Oryctolagus cuniculus: one gene and its partners. The main gene of each other region encodes a partner of the protein of the gene in region 4 in a complex. Links are inferred from orthologs where the notes say so. Each region holds a gene or a part of one and is shown on either strand. Other genes may lie near its edges.

What was found.
Region 1: GPKOW (region 4) and CWC22 share a complex: the UniProt entries of both Homo sapiens proteins name them as parts of the minor spliceosome. The link is inferred for Oryctolagus cuniculus from reciprocal best matches to the Homo sapiens genes GPKOW and CWC22.
Region 2: GPKOW (region 4) and CWC27 share a complex: the UniProt entries of both Homo sapiens proteins name them as parts of the minor spliceosome. The link is inferred for Oryctolagus cuniculus from reciprocal best matches to the Homo sapiens genes GPKOW and CWC27.
Region 3: GPKOW (region 4) and RBMX2 share a complex: the UniProt entries of both Homo sapiens proteins name them as parts of the minor spliceosome. The link is inferred for Oryctolagus cuniculus from reciprocal best matches to the Homo sapiens genes GPKOW and RBMX2.

What each region holds. Positions count from the first base shown.
Region 1 is NC_091434.1:61,054,475-61,062,424, forward strand, and holds the start of CWC22 (pre-mRNA-splicing factor CWC22 homolog), read left to right. Parts: upstream 1-2,933; 5' UTR 2,934-3,195; exon of another isoform or gene 3,196-7,807; intron 7,808-7,950. UniProt on the Homo sapiens protein: Required for pre-mRNA splicing as component of the spliceosome. As a component of the minor spliceosome, involved in the splicing of U12-type introns in pre-mRNAs. Promotes exon-junction complex (EJC) assembly.
Region 2 is NC_091445.1:85,775,966-85,783,405, forward strand, and holds part of CWC27 (spliceosome-associated protein CWC27 homolog), read left to right. Parts: intron 1-1,440; coding exon 1,441-1,584; coding exon of another isoform or gene 1,585-1,588; intron 1,589-3,291; coding exon 3,292-3,390; intron 3,391-4,000; coding exon 4,001-4,104; intron 4,105-5,793; coding exon 5,794-5,863; intron 5,864-7,440. UniProt on the Homo sapiens protein: As part of the spliceosome, plays a role in pre-mRNA splicing. Probable inactive PPIase with no peptidyl-prolyl cis-trans isomerase activity. As a component of the minor spliceosome, involved in the splicing of U12-type introns in pre-mRNAs.
Region 3 is NC_091453.1:108,062,848-108,069,772, forward strand, and holds the end of RBMX2 (RNA-binding motif protein, X-linked 2), read left to right. Parts: intron 1-230; coding exon 231-360; intron 361-2,208; coding exon 2,209-2,386; intron 2,387-2,905; coding exon 2,906-3,414; 3' UTR 3,415-4,469; downstream 4,470-6,925. UniProt on the Homo sapiens protein: Involved in pre-mRNA splicing as component of the activated spliceosome. As a component of the minor spliceosome, involved in the splicing of U12-type introns in pre-mRNAs.
Region 4 is NC_091453.1:34,250,536-34,258,580, reverse strand, and holds the start of GPKOW (G-patch domain and KOW motifs-containing protein), read left to right. Parts: upstream 1-3,199; 5' UTR 3,200-3,233; coding exon 3,234-3,409; intron 3,410-4,182; coding exon 4,183-4,337; intron 4,338-4,442; coding exon 4,443-4,567; intron 4,568-6,432; coding exon 6,433-6,542; intron 6,543-7,281; coding exon 7,282-7,507; intron 7,508-8,045. UniProt on the Homo sapiens protein: RNA-binding protein involved in pre-mRNA splicing. As a component of the minor spliceosome, involved in the splicing of U12-type introns in pre-mRNAs.

The DNA of each region.
Region 1 (7,950 bases), on a different chromosome or scaffold from region 4:
CTCTTGGCATATAGCCTTATGCTCTCGGAAAGGATCCAAAGGCACAGTATGTTTGCTCTGAGGGTGACACGACACATCTGGAGAAAGTGATAGCTCATGCTGAGCAAAACTGAAACGCTTAAGTTTTTATAGATGACCACAGTTACAGGGAATAAGCCCAGGAAAGTGGATATGTGGGAATGGGCAGAAGACCAGAAAAGCTACCAGAAAATTATTTTCCAGAGAGATTCCAGAGGACACATCACTTTCCAAGACCATCAGGAAAGTGTTGGTGAGCACAGCACTACCATCACCAACATGTCCAGTCTTGGCTCTTCACAAGTCAGGGCTGACTTTGGGAGAGGCTGTCACAGAACTGAATCCTTAGCAACAATGAGAATGCAGGGGCCCTGCAGCAAGAGAATATGAGGCAACACTTCATCCCCAAAGCTTGGGGTTCACAGTCATCCTAGTGGCTGGACTTCACAGAGCAGCAACCAAGAGGACATATGAAGATGGTGAATAGAATAGGGTGTCTCTTAAGACAGAAATATCTGTGCATCCAATGAAGTGGTTCCTTAATTACACATAATTAGAATGAAGAATGGATGAGGGGCCGGCGCTGTGGCGCAGTGGGTTAACGGTCTGGCCTGAAGCGCCGGCATCCCATATGGGTGCCAGTTCAATACCTGGCTGTTCCACTTCTGATCCAGCTCTCTGCTATGGCCTGGGAAAGCAGTAGAAGATGGTCCGAGTCCTTGGGCCCCTGCACCCACGTGGGAGACCTGGAAGAAGCTCCTGGCTCTTGGCTTTGGATCGACGCAGCTCCAGCCATTGCAGCCAATTGGGGAATGAACCATCAGATGGAAGACCTCTCTCTCGCTCTGTCTCTGCCTCTCCTCTCTCTGTGTAATTCTGATTTTCAAAAAAATAAATAAAAATATTAAAAAAAAGAATGGATGAGCTAAAGGTAGTCAACTCAACAAAAAACTCTGAATCTCTTACCTGTCCAGTTTTCAAGCCATTAATTGGGACTTAATTGGGTTTTGGAAAGAAACATCCTGCAATATCAAGTCAGGTATACACAGTCATGATTCCTCTGATCCTTCCCCAAAGAGAGTCACTTCCAATTATCTGAATTATGGCACACAAGGAAAGGGGAACTGGTAAACGCACAGCAGCAGCGAACAATGACACCTAAAGATAGGAAGCACCATTATGGCTCTCCTGCTGGAAGGAGGTGAATTGTAGTTTTGGAGTCAGGGCCAGCCATCTTTTTCACAATGGCTTCACTGGGCTCACAGGCAAAACTAGTAGCCAGTTACGCAGTCCCAAGTGTAAAATTGGGATTGACATACTTCAAAGGTGGTACATTTCCATATATTTCCTGTGACCTGTAAAGTAAAAGCTACCATAGTGGGTATATTAGTCAGCTTCTTGTTACTACAATTAACATACCTGAGAAGGGCTACTTGGAAGGAAGAAAACTGATTTTGGCTTACAGTGCTGGCAGCTCACAGTCCAAGATCAGGCAGTCCCATTGGTTTATGCATTTGATGAGGCTGGAGGCTGGTGTGGGACACACATATGGTGAAACGGGAAGCAGAGAACAGTTGAGTAGAAGGAGGCTTATATAATCAGCTCTCTCACAAGAACCACCTTCTGATGGCAAGCTCCCAATGATCTAAATACTTCCTAGTGAGCCCACCTTCCAGACACCATAATTGGATTAAGCCTCAACCCTTAATCCTTCAACCATTAACATTGACCTGTTAATGGTTAACATAAGACTTTGAGGATCAAGTCCTCAACCTACAGACCTTTGGGGAACACACAAACTATCATCCAAACTGTAACAGTGGATAAGGCTAAGCAAAAGTCTTTGAACTTTCTCTCTTGGCCAAGAGAGCAATCAAAATCAGTGTCATATGTGAATAGTAGAGTTTAATGATACCCAGAATAGAAAAAAAAATTTTTTAAATGATATCCAGAAAAATGTCAAGGTTTTATGATAATGCCAACATAGCTCCAATTAATTTTGACGGTCTGATCTAAAGAAATCAACTGAATTAGGATAATTATTATAGACTATAGCAACTTCAACCAAGTATTAGCCCAATTGCAGTTGTATATCAAGCATTGCATCATTGATAAAACAGAATATAGGTGGGTACTGCTTTTACTCCTTACAAATCAGGAAATGGACACAGAATGTGAAGTAACTTACTCGAAGTCAATGATTCATGAATAAATCCATCGTTTAAGCATAAGTAGCCCAGCTCCATTTTGTTTTTTAATGCCTTTAATCTCTGCAACTAGGAAAGAGTTAGAAGCACAAATAACCTAAAATTGTAATGAAGTATTTGCAGAAACCAGTCCTGGTTTAAAAAAGCAAGAGAACTCCCCAAACAGTTAACAATTACTTGGACTTCTGGGTTTTGTGATTGCAAAAACGAAAGTTCAAGGAAATTGTTTGATTGAAGCCCTACCTCTGAACTCTGTATAAGACAGTTTCTAACTCAGCTGCGGAATCTCTTTATCTCGACAGTGTCTTGTCACCTGGTATCTTAGCCCAAAGAGAGACATCATCGTCTTCACAGAATTAGCTTCTCTCAGTCTATTAATGGGCTAATATTCTCTTGGAACTTAGTAGGCACTTAATCATTTAGTAACATTTTGCTTAATATGCTCTTGGTCAAACCAAAATGTCTGAGAGGATTTCTGTTTTTTAATATTTTCACGGAAACGTGACCACAGAGGACTACTTTTCTGCCAACCGCAGAGAAACAGTTTTGGATTATAATTAATCTTATCAAACCCTAATTACTCTCAGGTATTCTGTGAGCAGCCTGGAGGCAGTCGCAGATGCTTATATCCAAGAACTACAATTCCCATCGTCCACTGGGGCTTTCTCGCGCTAAAACTACAATTGCGGTTAGTCATTTCCGTCTGACGAGAGGGAGGATGCTGGTCTTTGTAGTTCGGGTCTACTTGCTTTTCGTTGCCGTGTTGGTAAGGAGACAGTATGATTAGATGCACTGCTTTCAATCTGGCGTTGTGATGTGGTGTTTAAGATAACCTAATAGGCAAAGCGCGTCAAACCCAAATGAGCGTCCGGTTTTTACGTACTTCACGCTCCGCCTTCCTCCTCTTGCCGGTGCCCGGGAAGGGGAAGTGACGTGCATCCGGTGTAATGGCGCCGCGGTGGAGCTCTAGGTAATTATCGAACTCGGTCGAGTCGTCCCGGGGAGGCAACTGCAGTGGGGGGTCGCGGGTTGTTGGACCGGGAGGGATAGTGAGGAGGTCTGTGGGCGGGGGGAGTATGCCGCCGGGTCCGGCTGTGGGCGGCCCCGGGAGCGCGTTGCCGTCCTCCCGCCACGCGCGGGCCCGCGAGGTTGGGCTAAGCGAGCGGGTTGGGCCGAGTCGCCCCGTCAGGTGGAGAGTGGGCAGCCGTGAGCTGGCTCTCCGCCTGCGCGGACGGACCTCAGGCTCATGAGGTTCCTGCGCCGTACCTTGGCCGTGTCTCAGTTGCTGGGTGACTGCATCCGAGCTGGTTCTTCCTCCCGCCGTGTGCAGTGTTTTGGGCGCGGGTCACTTCGAACCTCTCGAGTTAGGGGGCTTGCCCAGGCCCCTACCTAGTGCCCGGGTCCCAGGGACTCGGGAATAGGATTAATGAACTATAGTTCATTTAAGAGATAGCTAACTGACTTTAAAGCCTCTCGGCGGAGTACTATCCCTGTGACTCTCTTTGTAAAATTTCACTAGTGGTTTCTTTTTCATGTATTTGCCCTGCCATTTACTGATACTTACAGATGTTTAGTCCTGGGAACCCCTCCTTTTCCATTGTCTTCATCTATCATCTTTCGTCCTGCCGTTAGTTGAACCACTTCCAATAAGATTGACAACTCCTTAACTTGGTCCTCCGGTTCGTCACTCTCTGCTGAGCTCTGGAGTCCTACAATACACTTCAATGTAATGGTGATATGATAGTTAATTTTGCTTGGACTAACTGAAATAGCGTCTTTACCTGTATTTACTTAATCCTCCGTGCTTTGAGGGGAGTGAGAATGAGAAATTTGGGAAAAGGCTATTCTGGGTGTAGGAGTTGGGTGATTTAAATGTGATGAGTTTCCTTTGTGTTATGCGATATCAACAGACTAGAAATAGCAGATAAACGAACAAAGTTGGTCTTAAAAAAGATCAGTTAGCCTCCCTCTTCCCTATCTGCATTTAGATTTATTTAGGAACACAGGAGTTAACATCAGTTATCCTGTGGAAGGGCAGACTTAGGATTAGCGTTAAAAGTGCGGTTTTGGAAGCGTTGCTGCAGGCAGTTGTCTATAGGAGGAGGAAATGACTTGTGTGGGTGCTGGGTGATGGACTGGCAAGCCAGAGATTGCAGTCTTGCTTCAGTGATTATTAGATTTATCACTTGGGGCAAGTGTACTAACATCTTTAGTCTCAGAGTCCTTGTCTAAAGGTAATAATAGTTGTAATAATAACTGCCTGGCTCACTGGTTGAGTCTGAAGGCATTGCATGTCCGGCAGTGTGCTCCCGGGCTGGCCTCCGGTGTTTTAACATTGTTAATATATGATAGAGTTAATGAGTTTTCTCTGTTCCTTAGTGCTTGTTCTTTGCTTCTGAATGTTGCCACTTTTAAGTGCTCGTGTCACTTTTGTGGAATCTTTCCTAACTCATTGGAGTTCTGAGATTCTTTTACTGGTACTTTAGAGGCCAAAAAGCTTTTTCTATTACCCTGGCTTAGTGGTTCCTAAAATGTGGTTTTCCAAGTCGGCAGCACCGGTATCTCCTTGGAACTTGTTAGTCATGTAATAATTGTTGAATCAAAAACTGGGGCATGGGACCCATCTGTATGTTTTTTACCAGACCATAAAAAAGCTAATGCCTTAGAGATATGCTGTGGTTCCCCAAATCAGGTTGCCTGCCCTCTTTGTTCCAAATTATTTGATTCGTGGCCAACCAGTTTCCCATCATTATTATTTCACCACATCCTTCCCTGCTTTGGGTAGTTTGGCTTACTCACTTTTGCAATTCTGATGCTTCCTAGACTACTTAACTACTTTTATAAAACACCTTTCTTTGTTAGTTTTCTCATTTGCTGAATTGTTAGAGATTATCTCATAATTTTGCATTGCCAAATGACCTACAGTGGTTTGTATTTGACATCACTTCAACAAAGGAGACAGTGGCACTTTATGTGTCTGTAGTACCCTTTATGTGCCTATACTATGCCTTAACTTGAACGGTAGTTGCTATTTATTGCCATCTTGTATGTAGACTGAATTTTGCTCTACCTGGTTTATCCCTAACTTAGTCATGACTATCCTAGAGCTATTCTAAGTAAGAAAAAAGGGGCTATTGGTAATATATATATATATGATTCCACCTATGTTTTGGAGGGCTTCCTTGTTGAATTTCCCTTTCTGTTAAAGTCTGACAGTTCTGCCATTGGAGGGTAATGGGACAATAAGGCCTGCTGGTTTCCTACTGCAAGCATTTCTCAAGTGAACATTGAAAAGAGACATTTCGAGGCTTTCAACAAAGTACACTCTCAAAGCATTTTCTTTAAAAAGAGAACTTCAGGAGAAGAAGCAGTACATTAAAGCAGACCTTTGCTACTGTAGCCAGGCTAGCAAGACTTCCCAGTGAGCAGACACCAGAAAGGGACTATGGGCTGCTTAGGCCTGGGGACACATCAAGAGCTCCTGTAATTGAAGAATAGCTGGCTAAAGAGAGAGTGGGACTGTGGGCAGCTCATGTTTAACCTACCTTTGAGCCTAACTCATAAATGGGTCATACTAGACAGCACTTCCACTGAAAACATCTGTGGTCCTTGCCTGAATGAGTCTGTCAGGACAGCTTTATTGCAACCATGGTGACAGGAGTGGCCGTGCTGGAATGGAGTGCAGTTTGTTCGCTACTTGATAAATTTGCTGTAGAGGCCACCACCTCCAAAGATTCTTTACACCAGAATGTGGTTGACTAAATGGCTCTCAGAATGATCAGAAAGGCCCCTCTTGGAGCTGTGCTGTCTGTTAAGAATGTATCCAGCCCATATATTCAGTGACCTGAAAAGGAACAGATTTTGGGGGAGGGGGACAGACAACAGTGGTATGATTGTATGGTGAAGACATATAGCACACTCCATAATTAGGCATGTTTTTATAAATTGAACTGTACCTTTAGGGTCAGTTTTTCTCTTGTAATTTCTGGGAAGGAACTCAATAATAGGGAAGTTTATACAAACTGCTTTCTGGGTTAACATGGAGCAAAAACAAATATGCAAAGGCACGTGACAGTGCTGTCTTGCTGCAGTTGGCAACAAACAGCTTGGTGGTCCCAAAAGAAATAGGAATTATAGGTGGAACAAGGCATTTCTTCATAAGGAAGTTGTCAAGTAGTGCGATGGAGAAGTCTGTGTAGGAAAAGCTAGGGATAATTATCCAGAGTCCACACTCTTCCCCTTTTGATTTTAGAGTTGTGATTTGTTAAGTGGTAATGCTGTCCTAGGTTCTGAATGTAAAGCAGTGACCCAGACCCCTAGGGATCCAATATATTCATGAAAGGTCTTTCATGCTTTAGCTTTATGGGTCTCTCATGTTCCCTTTCATTACTTTTCAGTTTTCCTTGTGCATGCTGTGCACTTCTCATACAAGCTAGAATTCTCTGTTGTCTTGTCTTTGAATATTTACACATGCTGAGCTCATTTCCAAAATGACCTTTTCCACCTTCCCATATGGTAATTTCTACTGGTCCTTTAACACTGAGTTTCAGTACCAACTTCTTTCTGTACATCGCAGATCCACTTAGTTGTACTTCATCTTTTCCTGTAGTACGGTGTTTATGATACAGCATTCAACAGCTTCATGGAAAATGTAATTACAAGATAAATTTAGAGGTGAGCACTTGGCCTGATGGTTAAGACATTGGTTAGGATGCCCAAGTTTCGAATCTGGACTGCCTGGGTTCAGTGCCTGGCTCTGGCTCCTGATTTCAGCTGCTTTCTAATGTGGACACTAGGAGACAACAGTAATGACAGAAGTTAGTTGGGTTCCTTCCATCTATGTAGGAGACCTTGACTGAACTCCTGGCTCCAGCCTCCAAACCATTACAGGCGTTTGGAGATGAACAAATGGATGAGACCAATAATGTTTTGCTGCAAAATATTTTGTGAAATCCATGCATAGTTGTTTTTTTTCCCGTAATATGCTTATTTTCTGTGAACTTTTTGGAAACCTTTCATAGCTACAGCACTTAACACTTTTCTTCCGTACCTGAGAATAGGAACTTTGACCTGCCAGTTCTGTTTACCTTGTGTGCTGTTTAATATATATCATCCTCCTGTACACTGGCCCATCTTTAGTGAAAAGAGCATGGTTGTACTTCTCTTTCTATTAGCATCACTCTTCCTCATTTTTTCTGTAAGTACTTTTCTGAGCCATTTAATGAAAATATGAACTGTGGCCCTAACCGTATCGTTTTTTGGTCTTTTCCTATAACAGACTTTTTCAGTTGTTATAACCTCTGAAAGAGAGACTCTTCTGCACAAATGCAGCTTGAGCAAATGAAGAAGGAAAGTGTTGAGTGGGTGACTGGAAGCCCTAGAGCTATTTCTTTATTTTACTACCAAGCATTTAGTAGAGTGGTGAGGACTTGGGTATAGGTTTGAAATGTGAAGTTTTGTTTCATCTTTGTTATCATGAAAATGTGATACATTTGCTTAAGGAATGAGACGTGGGGGTTGCTGAGGGAAGTTCAGTCCTGTTGCTCTGGAGCTGTTTCTCTCTTGAAAAAAAAAAAAAAAAAAGATAGGTAAAAGACACTTGGCTGCCTTCTAAAATGAAACTAAGGTGGTCTCATTATGGGATCTTCTCTAAATGAAAATTTCCCCTAACCGCCTGTGAGTGTATATAGTGTCAGAGAGATCAGAAGAAAAACAGGTACAGATT
Region 2 (7,440 bases), on a different chromosome or scaffold from region 4:
AACAGGAAAAGCAACATAAAAAGTGTTAGAAAAAGATACATTAGGAATAGGTCAGTGATTTCTTAACTACCAACAAATCTTAGAAGAACAATGAGGTAATGTCATAGTTAAGATAGAAAGAACTGTGTGTTCAAGTGAAAACTAAAATTTGTGTTCATTATTAACTGCTGGTACCTGTATCATGTTCTTTGAATGAATGAACATCAAAAGCTCTTAGAATTTAGAAGTTTTTGAAAACTTCATATTTCTGTTAATGGGGTAGAATGTCTGGAGTTTCCTTTCTTCTCTGAGTTACTGTGTGAGTCTTCAGAAAAATACTTTATGAATTGTTTGCTTTAATTTCCAGATGATAATGGCCTTAGGAAATAGGAAATGATTATGAAAAAATTTAGATGTCAAGTTAGCCTATTTATATTTACCAAAGTAAAATGACTCATAGTTTTAGAGCCTCTGTCTAGTAGGAAGCATTCCTTTATTCTAGTATTTGGTGTAACAGAATAGCTTTTTTTACAATTCCTTTCTGATTAATTTTTTGCTTTTTTATTTTCATATACTACAATTATTTTGTTAAATTTTTATGTTAGGTAATTTAAAATACAGTATATAGAGTAATGATTCATTGAATTCAGATCTCTTTGAGAATTAACTTATTAAGGAAAAATAACTTCATTTATGACAAGCAGTGATTACATTCATGGCTACATTATACATAATGCAAAATCAGGTCTGGATGGAAATTCTGTGTACTCAATCTTAGCCAAAAGGCCTAGAACCATTGGATATTCTGTAAACAAAGTGGCTTATGTATGTGTTAAGTAACCCTATCATGCAAGATAACCATCTTAGAAAGGCTTGCTCCTGCCCTTTCGGAAACTAGCAGATTGGACCAATGCCAGTTCAGAGAAGATTCAGCTTAGGGCTTCAGTGAAGTCACAGTGAAATCATTTAACATAATCAGAATAAATTCCTTTAATTAAAAAATGAGAAGAAAGCAATTGTTTTACGACATTTATAATGAGATGATGACTATTACCTGAAGACTCTGCAATGACTCAACATTGTTTTCTTGAAGAAAAAAAAGATTTTAAAAGCTTGGATGGTTTTGAGGGATAATAATAGGGAAGTGAATCTTAGAAATCTACTCCCAAATGAATACCCTTCCCCTGCATGTTAGTAGACAGCTTTCCACAAAATATGCTGATCTGTGGCTGAGTATGTCTAGAATATACTTATAGGTTAGTGATTTCTAGTTTAAGTGCATTAAAAGTATAAATATTAGACTTGATTACACTTAAAAGTCAGTTAAATTAAACTTATCATTTTTGTTAGTATTTTGAGATTTTGTTAGTATTTTGAGATCTTACTGGTCAGGTAAATAATCAATTGAATTTGAAATATCTTATAACTGAGAACATTCTCTAAATATTTTTTGTACCTCAGGATGAATTTCACTCTCGGTTGCGTTTTAATAGGAGAGGACTGGTTGCCATGGCAAATGCTGGTCCTCATGATAATGGCAGTCAATTTTTCTTTACTTTGGGTCGAGCAGATGAACTTAATAATAAACACACCATCTTTGGAAAGGTTAGTGTCTACTTATCTTAAATTTACAGTTTGGTCTTTGGTTTTATGTTATTCGTTAATCTGTGATATATATATATATATGATTAACTTATCTAAGAGCTTCCTTTATAAAAGTATTTCTGGAATATTTAGTTTATATATTATATATATATGTGTGTGTATATATAGATAGATAGATAGATATAGATTTTATTTTTTTAATTTGAGAGACAGAGTTACAGACAGATAAAGGGAAAGACAGAGAGAAAGGTCTTCCATCCGCTGGTTCACTTTCCCAATGGTTGCAACAGTCTGCTCTAAGCCGATCCAAAGCCAGAAGCCAGGAGTTTTTTCTGGGTCCTCAATGTGGGTGCAGGGGTCCAATCACTTGGACCATCTTCCACTGCTTTCCCAGGCCATAATAGCAGAGAGCTGCATCAGAAGAAGAGCAGCTGGACACAGCTGCTTTCTTTAAAGCTATGGTCTTTCTTTAAAGCTATGGTAATGGTATTAGTTACTATGCCATTCAGCCAATATTGTTCTTACAGTTTTAGAAAGACCCTTAGGTAATTCCATTGAGCACTTTAAAGTTTATCTTGCTAAGGATGAATTCCCTCACCTTTAAAGTGGAAGTTGTGCTGACACTGACATACAGGAGATGCAAGTGCCTATTTAATCCCATTTGCATTCATTGTCATAGCAGGGAGTGCTGTTTCTATAGAATTTTCAACAGTTCTCTTTAATGATGGATTTTTTTCCTCATTCATCTCTCTTCTCAAATGTATTCCTATATGAGTATATTTGAAGTCTTAGTTTTAGGCATATGAGACATCACTAGTGTATCAGCCCCCTCTGCTGGTCCAGTAAAAATTGTTTCTCCCGGATCCTTGGTAAAACTGGATTTTGTGATGATGAAAGGGAAAAAAACAACTTGGTACAATTGGAAAATCTGTTGTATTTATAAAATTTTGGAAATGCTGAATGAAAATAACATTAAAATCATGAAAAATCAATGTAATTGCTCCATACTTAACAACATGGGTTAGGGTATCTGTACAGGCACGTTCTTTTGAACCACTCCTAAGCAGGTTGTATGTTATTCATAGATTTCCTCTTTTCCTCCATTATTTTTAAAATATAAGAGTGTATAAAAAGTGGGATTTAAGTAGCCATTTTCTACCATTTTTTACAATTGATGTAACCGACACACTAGAGACAACATATAGCATATTAGAAGCTGGAAAAGCAATCACTGTTGGCTTTAACACTTCTTTGAGATTCAATTTCTTCATTTGCATAAGGAGATAATGATAGTTCCTAGTTGAAGGATATTTATGAGTTTTAAATGAGGAAATATCTACAAAGCACTTACGTTATTATTGATATTATTTGTTTTTTTTCTGTGCTAGATTCTAAATTTGTTTTTGATGTTTGAATGAAAAGTTATTATTCAGTTAGAAGTTGTTTGGCATTGTATTTTTATTTTAGTAAAAACTGACGCTAACTATATTTTGGACATTTCCCAAAAAACTTATTGCGGGGTAGAACTCCATCTATTGCTTTTCCCTTGAGATGAAGCTGCTTTATTTGTATTACTTAAAACATATGCTGTTAGGTAATACTATGAAATTCCCTATTAATTATTTTAAAAATCTTTTCAAATATTCCTTTTAATTGAAAAATTGAATACAATAATTTGAAATTACATTTTATACTTTTATTTGATAGGTTACAGGGGATACAGTGTATAACATGTTGCGACTGACAGAAGTAGATATTGATGATGATGAAAGACCACGGAACCCACACAAAATAAAAAGTTCTGAGGTAGGGAATATAATTATTATGAGATATAGCACTTAACTTGTTATTTAAGAGGGATTGGTTATTAGTATTTTTAAACTATTAGATGAAGAGTTTTTACCAAATTAACCTCACAACTCAGATTTTATCTCTATTTATGCTCAAGTTCTGATGAAGAATATTTTAAATTAAAGGTTTAGAATTCAAAGATGAAACTTTAGCTGAAAATCCAGTGATTAAAAAGCTTAACTCTGAATAGAAACTTAGAGGAATTAGCCTGAAGAAATGACTTCATAGGTAATTGAAGAGTGACTGTTCATTGCGTCAGAAAGATTCTTATGAAGGTCAAAACACTTCACTTTGTTACTTTACGTATCATTTAAGTTTTCTTAAGTATTTTTTCCTTTTGTAAATGGAAATAAAATACAGTATCACTTACTTAATAGATAAAGGATTATTAGGAGAATCCAATGAGGCGACATAAGTGATGTATATATATATATATCACTATACTAATAACATTTATGTGGGAAGAAAACTACAGACACCGATGTCAGTGACAGTAAATATTGGTTTTCCTCTTTTGTGAAATTAAAACAATGAAATAATGTTTTTAAACTATTTCTTTTCATAGGTTTTGTTTAATCCATTTGATGACATCATTCCAAGGGAAATTAAAAAGCCAAAAAAAGAGAAACCAGAGGAGGAAGTAAAGAAACTGAAACCTAAAGGCACAAAGTAATCATAGTAGAAAGATTTTTCTTCAATTTGAAAAGCAACTCTATTTCACTTGGTTTATTTTATTTCTCTTTATAATAATTATTTTCTAGAAAGGGAAAGACTAGTTTGAATGAAGAAGATGTGGTTATTGTCAGGGTGTTATTTTTCCTAAAGATGAAATTATGCCATCTCATATGTCTATATGAAACCTATGTTAATAAATAAATATTTTATCCTCATTCAGTTATACAAATGAATTGAAAAACTCTAGTTTGGCTTTTTAAAAATTAATACATATAGTCACTCAGTATGAAGTATTTGGAAAGTAGAGAAAAGTATAAAGAATATTTTTAAAGACTGTTACTTCCATCCCTTATTTTTGGTGCTATTAAAATAATATTTTAATAAACATTTTAAAACATAAAATTTTCATTTAATATTCTAGATTATTTGCTTAAGGTAGTCTGCAAAACAATAAGAACTTTTAAAATGAATTTCAGTATTTTGTGATAAGAATCTTTACATTATTACTACTATCTATATTAGTAAAATAGTAAGAGTTGGAGTTCAGTTTTCTCTTTACTGAATTGTAGCATCCTTATTAGGGATTTTATTGTATTTATAAATGTTAGAGTCAGACAATTCTATATATAATCCTGACCAACACAGTTAATGAGAAGCAAAGTTTATTTTCCTGAAATTCATTGCCTTATCTTACAAAAGGAAGATTCTAATAAGTACAACACCTGATTGTCTTGAAGATTAACTCATAGGGGCTATGTGGAAACATCAAATAGTGTAGATATTCAATACATATTAGTTTATTTCCTGGATATTCTATCAGACATCAGCTAGATACTTTAATAAACAGTTGATGCTTCATGGCAAAATAACTTATTATTTAAGTAAAGCTTATGTATTTGATTTCCTTTTATTTCTTGATTCATTCATTTTGACTAATTTATCTGTGGATGAAAAGTCACTGTCACTATATTCTTATGTGGCATTCATCAGTTTGATTTATCTTGACAGTAAGCTCAAAGTTAGTTTTTTTGGTGTGTTTTCTTTTCATCCACAGAAAGTATATTAGGGATGTTTGGTAGCCATTGCTTGCATCTAGGTTTTGGGAAAAAATTTGTTTCCAAATCTTTAATTTTTCTAATATTCGAGAGCAAATTTTAATAATCTGTTGTTTATATTATATGAGATTTACCCTAGTTTGAAGGATCAGTGGAGACAATTTTTTTCTTACCACTGACTACTTTCATTTTAAAGTTTATTGCTGGTATTTTTTTTTGTCTGACAGTTTTGTGTACCTTATTAATTTTAAAATATTGACATATTTTGCCAAATTCTAGATTAATTGCTCTCCATTTTTAGTGTTCTCAGTTGTTTGCCAGAAATCTCCATTTTACTACCAATTTTGATAATTACACAAGTTTGATTATTTTTGTCATGCTTTAGGTATATTTAATGGTAATGCTCAGGATGGGTTTTTAGTCATTAGTTTATAATAATGCATGAAACGTCAGTGGTCTAAGGTAAAGGCTTAACATTATCCTGAAAATATAGGATACTCATGCATCATACTAAGTAATACTGTCTTTTTAAAACATTGTATTCTGTTTTGTTGCTTTGGAAAATAGGGTACTTACAAATTTCATTTAACTTTTCCTAATTTTATTTTATTTTATTTTTTTAAACTAGAAATTTTAGTTTACTTTCATTTGGAGAAGAAGCTGAGGAAGAAGAGGAAGAAGTAAATCGAGTCAGTCAGGTAATCGCGAATTAAACCTCTTTTCTGAGTTATCTCTCCTGCTGTACTGAACACCATGTTTCACATGGTACACATCCAGTAATGTTCATTGAGTTGATTTGTGTGATGGTTTGCAGTTAGTAATATTTGCAACTTCTGAGATATTTGCTCTCAAAATTATCTAGAATTTCTGTAAATAATTTATTAATTTTGTTAAATATAAAAATTATTTTTAAAATATGGCATTTTTCTGTTACTTAGAAATATAATTTTTTGAGTAGTTGAACTTACTCAGATCTTAATTGCTATTTGTTTAATTGATTTGCTAGATGATAATTATGATTATTTTTGTCATTATTATTAATATAGACTAAAACCCTTATATTCATCTAAATGTTATTTATATATATTTTGTTTCATTTCTTCTCATTATAACCTTTGAGATGGATGTTATTATTCTTATTCTACCTGTGAAAAAATTCAAATATAGATAAGTTACAATTTACTCAAAGTCACATAGCTAGTAAGCAGCTATAACTGGGAACTGAACTCAAATACATGGCCTCATAGACTTAGACCAAAAAGTGTGGTTTTCCCCTTTTCACTTTCATCACAATACTCAGTATAGAAACACAGTGTCATGTCATTGTTTAGAGCAGTGATTCTGGTATGTATCATCATCTAAGACGATCATCTTCAAGGATTTTTATTCCCAAGGTTCTAATATGTCTTTTTTTTCTTGAAATTTAGTGAACACTGAAACCCAGAGGATTAGATTCAGTCTTTGTTGTGATAATTAAAGCAATAACCATCCTTATCTTAGTTGTTTAATACAGTCATCTATTTCTCTTTTTTAAATTTTATTTAATATATACAAATTTCGTATATTTCGTATATGTAGATTTCAGAACATAGTGATATTTCCTACCCTACAATTCCTCCCGCCCAAACTCCCACCCATCCTCCTTCATCCCTTGCTTTATTCTTAATATTTACAATGATCTACTTTCATTTTAATTTATAGCCATAAGATTATCCCTACCCTAAAAAATTCAACAAAAAGTAAGAAGAAGAAAATACTGCGTCTCAACAGTAAAGACAAGGGCTTTAAACAATCATAGAATTTCCAAATGTCAATTTCACTCCTATACATTACATTTTTGATGCTCTATTAGTTACCACAGATCAGGGAAAACATATTGTGGGGAGCAATAGTAGCCAACCCGGGAAGAACCAGCAGCAAACCCGGGGAGGGCCGAGCAGACGAAAGAACAGCGCAGGGTCCTGTGTCGTTCCTCCACGAAGAGGGGGAGCGACATAATGGTGCCGTGACTCGGATAGGAAACTTAGGACGGATATGAAACTTAGGAGGGAAGAAACGGGAAGAACAGGGAAAATATCGGAGAGAGAAACTAGCAAACAGCCTAGGGAAAATATTGGAGAGAGAGACTAGCAAACAGCCTAGGGAAAAGCCGGACGAAAAGGGTGCCGGAAGAAGCTATTGAAAGCCTAGGCATAGACTCAGATACGGACTATGGGGGGAAGCTGGGAGAAATCTCTAAGGTCGAAAGCGAAAGTGAAAGCTAGAACAAACAGAC
Region 3 (6,925 bases), about 74 Mb from region 4:
TCTCATAGTCCCATTTAGTGTTTTTAATTTGGCCTTGTATTTGTCTTCAATCTTAGTATTTCCACTCCTTTTTTAAATTGGTCTTTTTTTATTTTCAACCTTTCTATCTTACCTTGTTCTAGATGTGTTTCCTGCCTGGAGTACATTGTTGAATTTTGTTTTATTATGAACAGTCTGAATATTTTTGCATTTTGAGTCAATGATGTCTTACTCTTTTCTCACATAAATAGATATGGGGAGGTTGTTAACATTAATCTCGTGCGGGACAAGAAGACTGGAAAATCCAAAGGTTTCTGCTTCCTCTGCTATGAAGACCAGAGGAGCACGATTCTGGCTGTTGACAATTTTAATGGGATCAAGGTGAGCATGCCTAGTGAACAGAATTTGGCTGGACTCTGTGTGTCTATCCGTACAGGTGCAGGGGCAGTACTGGGCAGCTGGGTGTGTGGCAAGGACTACAGAGGTGTGGAGGCATTCTTCAGAAAGTGATTCAGGAGATGATGCTGTTGGCCCATGGCCCTGTCAAGACCTGTTCCTTTCCCCCGTATGTGAGCAAGCCTTCTCCCCAGGAACATGCCTGCCGCCCATCCCATCCTGCATTTTTCACCTTTCCCTCTTCACCCTCTGCCCTCATCTCTGGTGCACTGGAGAGCAAAGAGACTAGCAAATGTGTTTTTCCATGTGTGCTATGTTGGTGGAGTTGGGCCTCATAGGACACAGCCATGTCTGTCTGTCATGTGTCTCCAGTGCCCTAGCACACTGGGCCCTGGAAATTCTCTGGTGAAAATCTGATGACCAGTTCTACAAAAAACTCATTCTGGGATTTCTCCCTTCTCTCTTTCCTCTCATCTCCCCCATTGTGAGTGAGGCCTGGAGCTGAGAGAAGAGGATGGGACAAGTTAGGTTTATCTGTGCTCCACATGATCCCCACACTCATTTAGCAAAGACCCTTCAGTTGGAGTGAGCATTGTTCAGGCTCAGATGTGACTCCTGCCTTTGAGAATTTGTCACTGGTTGTGCCAGTACGGAGTGGCTGGAGATTATAGAACAGAGTGGAGCAGTGTGCCAGGCTTAATTTTTAAGGGAGCCAGCAGCCAGAGGGAGTTACCATAAAAGGGAGGCTTCTAAAAATGTTTCAGAATGGAGAATAGGATAGTTGATGAAGGTATTCAAGCCCAAAGAACAGAATAAAAATCTGTTCTTGAATTGGAACAATAAAAGTTAAGCTTTTCAAATTTCAAATTAATTCGTCTATGTAATAAGTCTGTATCTGTCAGAAAATAGAATTTTTTTAAAAAAAGATTTACTTATATTTATTTGAGAGGCAGAGTGACATTGAGAGAGAAACACAAGTGTTTCCATCCTCTGATTCACTCCCCAAATGCCCACAACAGCCAGGTCTGGGTCAGGCCACAGCCAAGAGCCCAAATTCCTGGGCCATCATCTGCTGCCTTTCCAGGCTCATTAGCAGGAAGCTGGATCAGGAGCAGAGCAGCTGAGACTCAAACAGGCACTCCAATATGGGATATAGGCATGCCCGGTGGTGGCCTAACCCATTGCACTGCAACTCCTGTCCCAGAATGAATTTTAAGTGAGGAGCAATTTTGTGATTCCCCTGTGGGAGTTGTGATTCACAGCACAGGAATCGATGTAGGCTGATTGTTCTGGTATGGTGAGGGTAGAACAAGGCATGAGAGCTTAAGAAGAAGAAATTGGTCTTTTCTCCATTTCTCTCACCTTTCTACTTGTTGGTCCACTTTTACCTCCTCCTAACGACTGTGCTGAGCTTAAGCTAGACTTCAGGAATTCCTTCTAGCTGCCAGGCTTTTCCAGGACAGCTAATGATACGGTATTACAGAGTGGGGCAGTTGGTTGCTGTCCCTCTGAATTCTCATGGTCCTCTGTGATGCTTGTGCTCCTGGGCAGTGCTTCTCGGCCTTTGTTCACATGAAAGTATTTGTATCTCGCCCTGGGGTACGCCGATGAGAACGCTAGTACAACTGTCCCGGGCCCAGCTGGCTGCCGCTGCCCTAAAGGCTGAATGGGTTACCATCTAGGCACACCTGCAGTGATTCAGACTGGTTGAGTGGGTCTGCTGTGGCGGTTTGCGCCGTAATAGAATTAGAGAGAGGGTAATAGATGGCGTTCAAACAGCTGGACAGTTTGAAATGAAGCCTGCCTTTTTGAGACGCTGCCTGTTTTTCTTAGATCAAAGGAAGAACTATCCGGGTAGATCATGTGGCTAATTATCGGGTTCCTAAAGTCTCAGAAGACATGGACGATGTGACCAGAGAGCTCCAGGCGATGGGCTGTGGTGTTAATACCCCCTCACCGAGTTCATCTGAGGATTCTGAAGAAGAGAAACCCATAAAAAAGCACAAAAAAGGTAAAACATTCAAACCCAAGAGAAACTTGGCAGTCTTAGCATCTGTTCCTCCTAGAGTTCATTGATGGTTGATAATCGGGTCATAAGTATGCGAAGGAGAGGTGGGGGGACCTTATTTTAATTGGGGAAGGGGAGGTGTCAGCAGAAGACTCCTGTTCTGGGTTGAATTGTGTTCCCCAGAATCGACACGTTGAACTCCTCACCCCTAGTCCACTGTGACTGCATCTGGACATGTGGTTTTCAGAGAGAGACTGGAGTGGGAATGGCCGTGCCCAGCAACTTGACGTTGCGGGTGACAGACATCGAAGTTGCTTCCCCGCAGCACTTTCCCAGAAGCACAGGGTGACGGCTTCACGCTGCTGCCCAGCCTATTTTCCTTGCCCATGGGCTCCCCTCCCGGCAGGCAGGCATTGGTAAACTGGTCTACCTTTGCTGGATGTCACGTACACGGAGAGGAAAGACATGGCTTTAGGGAGTTCTATTTCCCTTTTGTTACCGATTGTCGCCCTTCTTCTCCAGACAAAATGGAAAAAAAGAAAAGACGGAAAGAGAAAGAGAAAGAGAAGAGTGACCGGACAGTACTGGTCGAGCAACCATCTCCCTCTTCCTTGCCCAGAAGCAAGACAATAAAGGAAAAGGATGAGCCTGGCCCTAAGACAAGCAGCACCAAGGGCTCCGAGAAGGTGCCGAAGTCGGAGTCCAGGGAAGCACGGAAGCACTACCCTGTCTCCCCTGAGGTCAGAACTGTCCCCCGCGGTGGAGTTGAGGACCTGGCCAGGGAGCTGAAGAAGGAGAAATCCAAGCATGAGCACAGGTCCTCCGACAGGAGAGAGGCCAGAGAAGAAAGGAACAGGGATAGGGACAAAGGACGAAGCTCAGACGCGTGTTCTAGCTGGCACAATGGGCATTCGGATGGGTGGAGCCATCGGAGTAGAAGTCGGAGCCGAGATCGATCTCACAGACAGAAGAAGTCCCGTAGCTCCCGGGAGCGGGAGTCCTCAAATCTCAGTGAGCGTAGGCGTCACTGAAGCCAGTTCAGCCGCTCGGTAGATCTGGAAATGAAATGTGTTTCTAAAATGCAGTCAGATTCAGCTACGCCATTACTTCTCCATATGAAATCTCTAGAGCTGATTTTTAAAAAATCCCTTGAGTAGTGGAGTCCTTGAGAAGGCTGTGGTTTCATTGGCAGATACCCTGCATTTTCTAGTACAATCCATCATCCCTGGAAATATACTTGGAACTTAACAGAGAACGTGTCCTGAATTTTCGTTCATAAATTGGCCATGGGGCCCATAGCCCCCCCAGCTTGAGATGAAATTGCCAGAAAAGGAAAATTACAGACAATTCTAGAGGCCTAGTCTTTGTCTTCAATGTTGAGAACCCAGCATTCTAAGACTTCCAGTTAGCAGGTAGAACTGCAGTGAAGTGTGGTTTAACTAGGTTCAGACAGCTGGAGGTGAATGTGATGGGATTCTTTTTTTTTTAAGTATTAATTTTATTTATTTGAAAGGCAGTGTTACAGAGGAAGGGAGGGAGAGACACAGAGATCTTCCATCTGCTGGTTTACTCCCCAAATGGCCACAACAGCCAGGGCTGGGCCAGGCTGAAGCCAGGAGCCAGGGACTCCATCCAGGTCTCCCACATGGGTTTGGGGACCCAAGTACTCAGGCTATCTTTCACTGCTTTGCTGGGCGCATTTAGCAGAGAACTGGATCGGAAGTGAAGCAGCTGCAGCTCAAAACTGTTGCTCATCTGAGATGCCAGCATCACAGGAGCCAGCTTACCACTGCACTACAACGCCAGTGCCTGATGGGATTCTTAAGAACAACCAGCTCCCTCTCTAAACCCTGTTTGAAAACAGCTTTAAATGTCTTGTCTTTTTCTTTTTTTGGTTGAGATATTTTTCCACATACTTTTTTCCCTTGGAATTCTTTGTATTGATGTGAAATGCAGATAACATAAAGTTAACCAATTCAAAGCAATTCAGTGGCACTTATATTCACCATGTTGTGCAAACACCACCTGTGTCTAGTTTTGAAGCATTCACATTGTCCCCAAATAAAACCTAATACCTATTAAGCAATAACGTGCCATTACCCCTATCCTCCCTGTCCCTGGAAGCCACCCATCTGCTTTCTGTGTCTATGGATTTGCCTGTTTGGGATGCTCCACAGAGCAGGAATCACACAGCAGTGGCGTTTTGTGTCTGGCTTCCTTCACTAAGCATAATGTTTTCTAGGTTCATCCATGTTATAGCATGTATCAGTACTGCACTCTGTTTTAAGGCTCAATAATATCCTGTTGAGAGACCACGCTTTGTTTCTCCATTCCTTGGGACGGACGTTAGGATTGTTTCTACCTTTGGTTAGTCAGCTTCCTGTTTTGTGTGCAGACACGCCAGGCGACCTTCTGTGCTTGGTTTGCTTTTCACGTAGCCGCTCTTGCTCAGGTGGGAACACTGGTAGCTCCATCGCACACCTTTGGTCTGATTGGTAGTTCCTTCTCATTTTGAATCTTAGTTTCTATTATAGCACTCAGCCCCTTATGAATTTGGCAGGAACTGGTTCACAGGCCCTGCTGCAGTCTTTTTTTTTTTTTTTAGTTAAAAAAATTTTTAAACCTTTATTTAGCAAATATAAATTTCCAAAGTACAGCTTATGGATTAGAGTGGCTTTTTTCCCCCTATACTTCCCTCCAACCTGCAACCCTCCCATCTCCCGCTCCCTCTCCCCTTCCATTCACATCAAGATTCATTTTTCAATCTTTATATACAGAAGATTGATTTAGTATATATTAAGTAAAGATTTCAACAGTTTGCACCCACACAGAAACACAAAGTGTAAGTGTACTACTGTTTGAGTATTAGTTATCCTGCTGCAGTCTTAATGTTGAATTTCTTTTTTTTAAGTTCTCATTTTTAAAAAAGATTTTATTTGAAATGCAGTCACACACAGAGAGAAGGAGATACAGAGAAGGGTATCCGCCATCTGCTGGCCACAACAGCCAGGGTTGGGCCAGGCCAAAGCTCAGAGCTTCATCTGGGTCTCCCATGGGGGTTTAGAGTCCCAAGCAATTGGGCCATCTGCTGCTTTCCCAGGCACATTAGCAGGGAGCTGGATCAGGAGTAACCAGGACTCAAACCAGCACCCTTATGAGGTGCTGGTGCTATAGGTGGCAGCTTAAGCTGCTATGCCACAAGGCTGGCCCCTTAACGTTGAATTTCTGACCCTGCCAATGGGAGGGCCAGTGCTTTAACAGTGAGCACGCTTTCTTAATGTTACCCTGAGTGGTAGTTTGGGTCCTTGATTACAGGTACAGGGCTTTTTTTTTCCCCAGGGATAGAACACCTGAAAAGGAAAATGGAGCAGGAGATGGAGGAGTCTGGGAAAGCTGTCAGACTGTGGTGCATGTCTGACCTCTGGAGAAGCAAGGAAGGAAAGAAGGTGAGTAAAGAAAGTCTTACAGGGCAGGTCTCAGAAGTTCTAGCAAAACTGATGTTGAGTCCTCGAGCCAGAGCCACTTGTCAGAGGAGGCCTGTTTAGTCAGTTTGGTAATCAGGAGTCTGCTGTGGGCCTCTGCTTCAGCCATTGTGGCTACTTTGCTCAAGTCCCAGTTCCTGGTAGCCAGTTGTGAAGGCTCATGCAATTGACTAGGTCATTTTGTGTGGTTTTTCTGTATATGGCAAGGAGCTGGATCATACAGTTGTGGGCACTGGTTAGGCAAGTATGACATTCACAAAACAGGAGCTGACACTGCAGTCCACAGGCAGAATTTTTTCAGGGAAACCATAGCTTGCTCTTAAGGCCTTCAACTGATTGGATGAGGCCCACCCAGGTCATCAAGGATGATCTTTCATTTATTTTAAAGATTTATTTATTTGAATGTCAGAGTTAAAAAAAAGAGAGGGAGAGACTGGGAGAAACATCTCCCATCTGCTGGTTCATTCCCTAGATGGCTGCAATGGTTAGCACTGTGCCAGGCCAAACCAGGAGCCAGGAGCTTCATCCAGGTCTCTCACATAGGTGGTGGCAGGGGCTGAAGCACTTTGGCCATCTTCTGATTTCCCAGGCACGTTAGCAGGGAGATGGATTCGAAGTAGAGTAGCAGGAACATGAACTGACACCCATATGGGATACTGGTGTCATAGGTATTGGCTTTACCCTCTGTGACAACACTGGCCCCATAATTTCTTCTTAAAAAAACTGTAGGGGCGGGGCTGGTGCTGTGGCATAGCAGGAAAAGCCACCGCCTATAGTGCTGGCATCCCATATGGGCATCAGTTTGAGTCCCGGCTGCTCCACTTCCCATCCAGCTCTCTGCTGTGGCCTGGGAAGGCAGCGGAAACACTTGGGCCACTGCATCTGTGTAGGAGACCTGGAAGAAGCTCCTGGCTCCTGGCTTTGGATTGGTGCAGCTCTGACCGTTGGGACCAACTGGGGAGTAAACCAGCAGATGGAAGACCTCTCCCCCCAACCCTGCCTCTCTGTGTAACTGACTTTGAAATAAATAAATCTTTTTTTTTTTTTTTTGACAGGCAGA
Region 4 (8,045 bases):
GGTGGAGTTCCAGGCTTCTGGTTTCAGCCTGGACCAGCACTGGCTGTTGTAGCCACTTGGAGAGTAAACCAGGTCTCAAACCGGTGCCTATGTGGGATGCCAGCCCTGCAGGCGGTGGCTTTACCTGCTATGCCACCGCTGGCCCCTCTCTTTTCTTTCCAATAAATAAACAAATTAAAAAAAATTCCTAAGCCTCCAATTCCCTGCCATCCATGATCCAGTCCCTACATATCAATCTTGCTTCGTTTCCTGCCATCTACCAGAACACCTGTTCAGTTTTCAGCACCCCTCCCACTACCAGAAGTAGTTCTGGGCACAATTAATCTCCTTTCTGCCTCCTCAACCACTGTATGTGTGCATTCTTAATCATACGTGTAACCCCTGGCATTTCCAGTATCCCATATGGTTACCTTGGGGGCAAGGTACTGCAACAGAACAGGTACTCAATGGTTACTGAATGAACAACACAATAAATGGTTAATTTTGCAAAACTTGAATACAGGGGCTGGTGCTGTGGTGTAAAGGGTTAAGATACCTCCTACCATGCCAGCATCCCACATGGGTGCTAAGTCCCAGCTGCTCCACTGGGGATCCAGCTCCCTGCTAATGCAGTTGAGAAGCAATGAAAGATGGCCCAAGTTCTTGGGCCCCTGCACCCATGTGGGCAACCCATATGAAGCTCCTGGCTGTGGCCTGGCTGGACCCCAGCCATTGCAGCCATTTGGGAAGTGAACCAGCATATGGAGGATTCTCTATGTCTCTCTCCCTCTTTCTAACTCTTGCCTTTCAAATAAATAAATAAATCTTTTAAAAAAAACTTGAATATAATCTTTCTTAACTGTATGGCAAGCAAACACTTTTCAATGTTTGTTACTCCTGATTTTGTATTCAGGATTAAGGAAAGACAGAAAAAATGTCTTTCCTCCCCTTATATTTTCACTACACAGTTTTGTATCAGGACCAGAGTAGGCTGACATGATCTCATTGGTACCTGTTAGGAGTGATTAGAGACCAGGTGTGAATCAGCTGTAAAGGTAAGACTCTCAGGCACCTGTGGCCCTGACCTGAGTAAAACCTGTATTGTGCACACTGCCTCATATGGCTGCCTCAAGAAATGGGTATCATTTCAGCCATGGACAGTTTGCCCTGCAGGCAATACAGCAGTGGAGAAAACGGGCAGGCTCTACCTTAACCAAGTGTATTAGTCAGCTTTTCATAACTATAAGTATATACCCAAGACAGCTTAACTTTATAAAGAAAAGAGATTTACTTTGGCTTATAACTCTGGAGGGTCACAGTCTATGATCATGCAGGCCCTGTTGGTTCAGCCCCTAGTGATGGCCTTCTTGCTGGCTGAGTCCCAAGGTAGCACAGGGCATCGCATGGCAAGAGAGAAAGGAAGTAAACTACTCTGTGTCTCTATTCTCATAAAGCCATCAGGATTTAGTCATGGAGGCTCCATCTCAAATGACCTCATGCAGTGTAATCGTTTCCCAAAAGCCTCACCTGGAAAAACCATAATGGTACTGTTTCCACCCACTCAGAACCATTAGCATAAGTCTTTCAGGACTTGGAGCTGGCATCATGGCCTTGTTAAGTCACTGCCTGCAGCATCAGCATCCCATATGGGTGCCTGTTCCAGTCCCAGCTGCTCTACCTGCAGTCTAGCTCCCTGCTAATGCTCCTGAGAAAGCAGCCAAGGATAGTCTGAGTGCTTATGCCCCTGCCACCAACATGGGAGGCCCAGATGGAGTTCCAGCCTCCTGGCTTCAGCCTGGCCCAACCCCAGCCATTGAGACCATCTGGGGAGTCAATCAGCAGATGGAAGAGCTCTCTCTGATTCTCCCTGTCTCACTGTAAAAAAAAAAATTTAAAAAATAAATAAATCCTTTTAAAAACAAATAAATACATCATTAAAAAAATCCTTTCAGGACTAAACTCCTGAGTGAAGAGAGATAAATATTCAAACTATAGCACCATGTGATCCATGCTCACTTCATTTGTAATAAGACATATCAACATCACAAATCCCCTAGTATGATATAGTTAGAAGGGCACATCATTTCTGCATCATTTTTTGCCAAACATTCATAACCTCAGTCCAACAATGAGAAATCATCAGACAAACCTATCTGAGGAAGGTTCTACAAAAAAATGAACTGTACTTTGCAAGAGTTAGAAGTCAAGAAAGACTGAGAAGCTGCCACAAGACTGAAGAAGAGAAAGGAGGCATTGCAATTATATTGCAATATGTGATCTTAGGTTTAATTCTGAATTCTGGAACAGAAAATTGTCTACAGCTAATAGTATTGCATCATTCTGATTTTGATAATTATACTATTGTTATATAAAAAGCTTAAGAGTATCTGGATAAAAGATATAAAAGAACACTACTTGGGGCTGGCACTGTGGTGCAGTGGGTTAACGCCCTGGCCTGAAGTGCCGGCATCCCATATGAGCACCGGTTCGAGACCTGGCTGCTCCACTTCCTGTGTAGCTCTCTGGTATGGCCCGGGAAAGCAGTAGAAGATGGCCCAAGTCCTTGGGTCCCTGCACCCACGTGGGAGACTGGGAAGAGGCTCCTGGCTCCTGGCTTCGGATCGGCACAGCTCTGGCCATTGTGGCCATCTGGGGAGTGAACAATTGGATGGAAGACCTCTCTCTCTCTCTCTCTCTCTCTCTCTCTCTGCCTCTCCTCTCTCTGTGTAACTCTGACTTTCAAATAAATAAATCTTTTTTTAAAAAAAAAGAACAGTATTACTTCGCGACATGTAAGTCTAAAAGTATTGCTGAATAAAGATTTTTTAAAAATTTATTGCTCTGTTTTGAAAGTTACTGTAGCTGTTCCTTTGGGAGTTCAGGGCCCATCCCAAGATGCCCAGGGTTTCTAAACTGGAAACATAGCCATGAGATTGTTAGAATAATGGAATACCTGTTTTCAAGACCATTCTCTAAAACAAGAAGAAACGAACTCCTGGGAAGAAGGAATCTACCTTCTACCGCTACCGCCTCTTGGCGGAACTACAGTTCCCGGTATACTTGGCGCAGGCGCATTCCTGTGAAATTCAGACGCGCTACAATAACTTCCTACGGCTAGTTGTTTGGTTTCGTCGGCCGACGCCGCAATGCTTTTTGGGAAATGTAGTTCTTGCGCTTGTCTGACTGCCGCTAGCGAATTGAACCCAAACTAAACTTCCCAGCAAGCAGCGCACCAGCCTGGGAACTGGGGCAAGATGGCAGACGCCGAAGATGGTGTTTTGCAGCCGACTGCACCTTCTACTGCCCCAATTTCATTCGCCTTTACTCGTACGTCCTCTCGGAGGCGGCTGGTGGCCCTAAGTGATGGCGCAGAGTCCGCCCCAGAGGAGAAGGATTTCTTGAAGACCGTGGAAGGGAGGCAGCTACAAAGGTGAAGCGCCGGGTCTTTCGCCCCTTGTAAATCGGTGCCGTGGGTGCGAGCGGGAGGACTCGAGTAGTTTGCTTTGATGACAGTGGCCTGGAAAGCCTGAACCACGGCCTCAGGAAATCCGTGGAGGAGAGAAGGCAGGAGCTTGTGGGAGAAGTAGGGAAGTTGCTTTTCATGGCCGTGTGGACTGAGAAGATGTATAAGGATACTTCAGAAAGTTCGTGGGAAATGCGCATTATTTCAGTATTCATTTCCATGGACTTTTTGAAATGCCCTCACATTCATGACAGGGAATACCTTTATGATGCTGGGACACTCTGGTGTGTGCGTTCAGATAAGTGGGAAAGAGGGAATAATTACAGGACCCTGTTGTCTCAGCTAAAGTGAATGGGGGCGACTCTAATACGGGGAACGAGATGGAGCTGCAGATTCAGGTTGAGGGAGGCCGCATCAGCATCTTTAGGAAAGAAGAGGCTGAAGTGCCTGAGGGAGGGACTCGCAGAAGAGAAGCAACCGCCTAGGAGGCTGTTCTGGAGCTGGGAAGAGTCTGGCTGCAAATGGTCATCTGTAGTTCTTGGGATGAACAGACGGCCTGGCAATGATTCCTGGAAGATACTGTCATTTAAGGGCTGGAGGGACAATGACGTGCAATCAGAGGCATGGTCCATGGAGCTAGGAGGGGGCTTGGCTCTTGTGTTTCTCTGCATAGGGGGGGTGTAGCTGGAACCCACGGACCCTGCTTCTCTCCTCACCTTACCTTTCTTTGTCCACATCAGTGTGAAGCCCTCAGAGGTCCCCAAGGAACCTGTCATTCCCTTGATTCAGAATGGCTATCACAGGCAGCCCCTGGTCCAGCCCTCTGGGCTATCCACAGACACCAAGACCTTGATGGATGAGGTGCTGTCCCAGGCTGTGAAGGAACTGATTGAGGGTAAGTGGGCCCCCTCTCCCCACCCTGCTCCAGTGAAGAAAGACAAGGAAGAAGGTGGAAGATACATGGGGTGGGACCTCATTGCTCCCTCCCATTCTTCCTTAGAAACCGAGAAGTCCCTGGAAGAAAGAAAGAATGCAAATGCCGACTCCATGCTCACTATCCCCATGATCCAGAAAGGATACACCTCCAACAAGGAAGGGGTAGACAGCGAACACTCAGCTGAAACTGTGAGTTGGCCCCTTACCCCCTTGCTCCCTTGGTTTCTCCTTGCCCTGTCTGCCATGCATGCCTTCTTACACACAGCAAAGAAAGTCTGTGTGTACACTGGAGGCCTACTGCCTAGCTCTTCCTCCTTCCAGCCTTTTTGGGAACATTAACACATGAATCCAGATATTGGAATATGAAGTTGGATCCTAGGATTGTCTGAATGGGGTGAGAGGCAGAGGGAAGAGGAAATATAATAGCCATGAGGGTGGACACTGCCTGGAGTGTTTGACAAACACCAAGGAGACCAACGCGGCTGGACTGGAATTAGTAAGAGAAGTCAGGTGGCAGTGGAGGGGGTGCGGCGAGACCAGGCAGGGCTTTGTGGGTCATGATGAGAACTTTGGCTTTTACCCTGAATGAAATGATAGCCATGGGTGGGCCCTAGGCAGAGAAAGGATGCGACTTATGATTCAACAGAATCTACTGTGAACACAACAGACTAGTAAGTGAAGGTAGAAGCAGGGAGCCCAGCAGTCTAGACCAGAGATGGTAAGGACTCAGATCCAAGTGGCGTGAGAGAAGGCGAGGTAGGGTTTAGCGAGAGAGGCAAGAGCAGGGTGAGTATTCCTAATGGTAGCAGCTGCCCGAGCAGGCCATGGCAGGAAGGCTGTGTGGTGTGTCTGTTAGTGAGACAACTTGTGTGTCTGGAATGAGTGAATGAAAGGATTGAAGGAGTAACGACGGGAAGCGACCACAGGAAAGGGTAGCGGCAGGGCCATGGAAGTAAGCAAGTCTGTCCATATCTTGGACTCGACTTCTCACCTGTTCATTCATAAGTATTTTGCACTGCTTCCTCAGGGCCTACTTCTCCTATGGCCACAGAGCATCGACCATCCTGGCTTTAACTGGGGTGATTAGAAGTGAACTCATCCACCTTCATTTGTGCTCTGGTGTCTTTCATTAAAAAACAAACAAAGACCCTCCATTTACTCTTCATCCTGTTCCAGCTCTGGCCTTGTTTCTCATTTTCCCTCTGACAAGCCCCCTCCAGCAGCCTTCCACCTGTCAATTGATCACACTTCCATAGTCCTTCCTCTCCCTCAGCTCCAAACCTTGCCGTCATCTTTGCCCCTCCCTCTCTCTGTCATACCCCCACGTATGATCTGTCAACGCCGTCTTTGCCTTTTTTCTAAATGCATCCAGAATTTCACTTCTCATCACCACCAGCACCGCACATCTGGACGACTGCAGTGACTTTCTCGCTGGCCCCTCATGTGACCTCCACCTGCCTGCAGGTTGTCTGCCTCCTGCACCCAGCTCTCCTGATTGACCCCTTACCCATGCTCCTCTGCCCCCATGTCCCTGTTCCAGTCATGTTGATTTTCATAATACTCTTCACACACACCGAGTTTTGTTTGGCCTCAGAGCCTTTGCTCTTACTGTCCTCTCTGCTCACAACACTCTTTCCTTCTCATCTCCTCATGGCTCCCCCTGTCATCTCCTGGTCTCTGTGTCAGTGTCAACTCTAGCAATCCCTCTGCATCCTCATGTCCCACGTGGGAGTGCCTGAGTTCCAAACCCAGCTCTGTCTCCTGATTCCAGAGCTTTCTGCTCAGGTGCACCCCGGAAGGCTGTGGTGATGGCCCAAGTAGTTGGGTAGTTGGGTTCTTGCCTATCAAGTGGGTTGATTTCCTGGCTCCTGGCTTCAGCCCAGCCTAGTTGCAGCTGGGAGCTCTCATACTCTTTCTCTCTCTCTCTCTCTCTCTCTCTCTGTGTGTGTGTGCATGTGCACGCGCGCGTCTGCCTCTCAGATGCACATACTCACACGCATAGAAAGCCAGTGTTTGCAAAATCTGACGCTCCTTCCTCTTCCTGAACCCATTAGGTACCAAAAGAAGCTGATTATGAGGCAGTCTCTGTGGAGGCCTATGGACTGGCCATGCTGCGGGGTATGGGCTGGAAACCTGGTGATGGCATTGGACGCACTTTCAGTCAGTGAGTTTTGGGCTAAGGGTGACGGGGTGGACGGATGGAGCTGTGAACAAGCGCCCCCCCCCGCCCCCTGCCGCCACCACCCCATGGTGACTGCCAACCCAGAACCCTTCAGGCAGGGAGAGAGGATACATTATTCCCCTAATTCAGTAGCCTCTTCCACTCCTGTTTCCAATTCCTCATTTGAAAAGTGGGGGTAACAGGATGGACTTCACAGGCCTCTCGTGAGAGTTTGATGAGATGATACCCATAAAGCACATTGAATAGGCCCCCACCCCAAGTAAGCACAGGCTAAGTATCTGCTTTTATCACACGGACTTACAATCCCTTCTCCACAATTGGAAACTCCAATGAATTTCGAAAAGCAGACAATTTTTCACAAACCATGTGGCAGCCGAACATGATCTGCATTGGCATTGAGCGTTCTTATAGCCTGTTTCTCCTGTCTGGCCTGACCGGGCATATGATTTCTGCTGTGGAAATAGAAGGTTACAAGGAAATGCTTGGTTATGAGGGCCTGCCTCAGATGCCACCGTAGATACTGTATAATATGTAGTGTATGCAGCATGGTGTTAAGTTGAAACAAATGAAGTTCCATTTCTGTAGGTCCAAAACAATCCGAAGTGAGAGATTGGAAAGGGCATTCTTGAACATTCGATGGGGTAGGATTTAGCAGGGGAGAGAGGAAGCCACTGAAGGTGCTTGTATCCCGTCCCCAGTAAATCCATATTCCTTCACGCAGAATAGTGAAGCCCCGTGTCAACTCATTGAGGCCCAAGGGGTTAGGGCTGGGCGCCAACCTGGCTGAGATGAAGGCCTTGACCTCCACCAGTTCCAGCTGCCTTCCAAGAACAAATGTGGACCAAGATCAGGATGACGGGCAGGATACGACAAGGCAGCCCGAAGGGCTGAAGACGGGGACAGCTGTGACGGTCGTTTCTGGCCATTACCGAGGCCGCTACGGGAAGGTAAGGAGCCAGGGTGTCCCTGGAGACCAAGGAAGATGGATTTGAGGGTCGGAGGCAGGAAGCATCGGGTTTGGGGTAAAAGGGCTGGAAGTCCAGGTCTTTTAGGCCTGCCTGGCACACTGCTTCACTAGGTAACACGGCAGGGCCACTTGCTAGGTTTTTCTGAGCTTCAGGTGCCAATGAAAAGGGAGCAGGGCAGGTGTTTGGTGCAGTAATTAAGACGCCACTTGGCATGCCCATATGGAAGTGCCTGGGTTTGAGGCTTGGCTCCATTCCTGATTCCAGCTTCCTGCTGGTGCCCACCCTGGCGAGTGGCAGCTAATGGCTCAGTTACCTGGGGCCCTGCTCCCATGTGGAAGCACCGGATTGAGTTCCCAGCTCTTGGCTTTGACCTGGCCCCCAGCTCCAACTGTTGTGGGCATTTGGAAAGTTAACCAGCAAATGGGATAGCTCTCTGTCTTTCAAATAAATTAAAAAGCTAATTTACAAAAGGGAGTTAGGGGGCTGGCCCTGTGGCATAGTGGGTAAAGCCGCCACC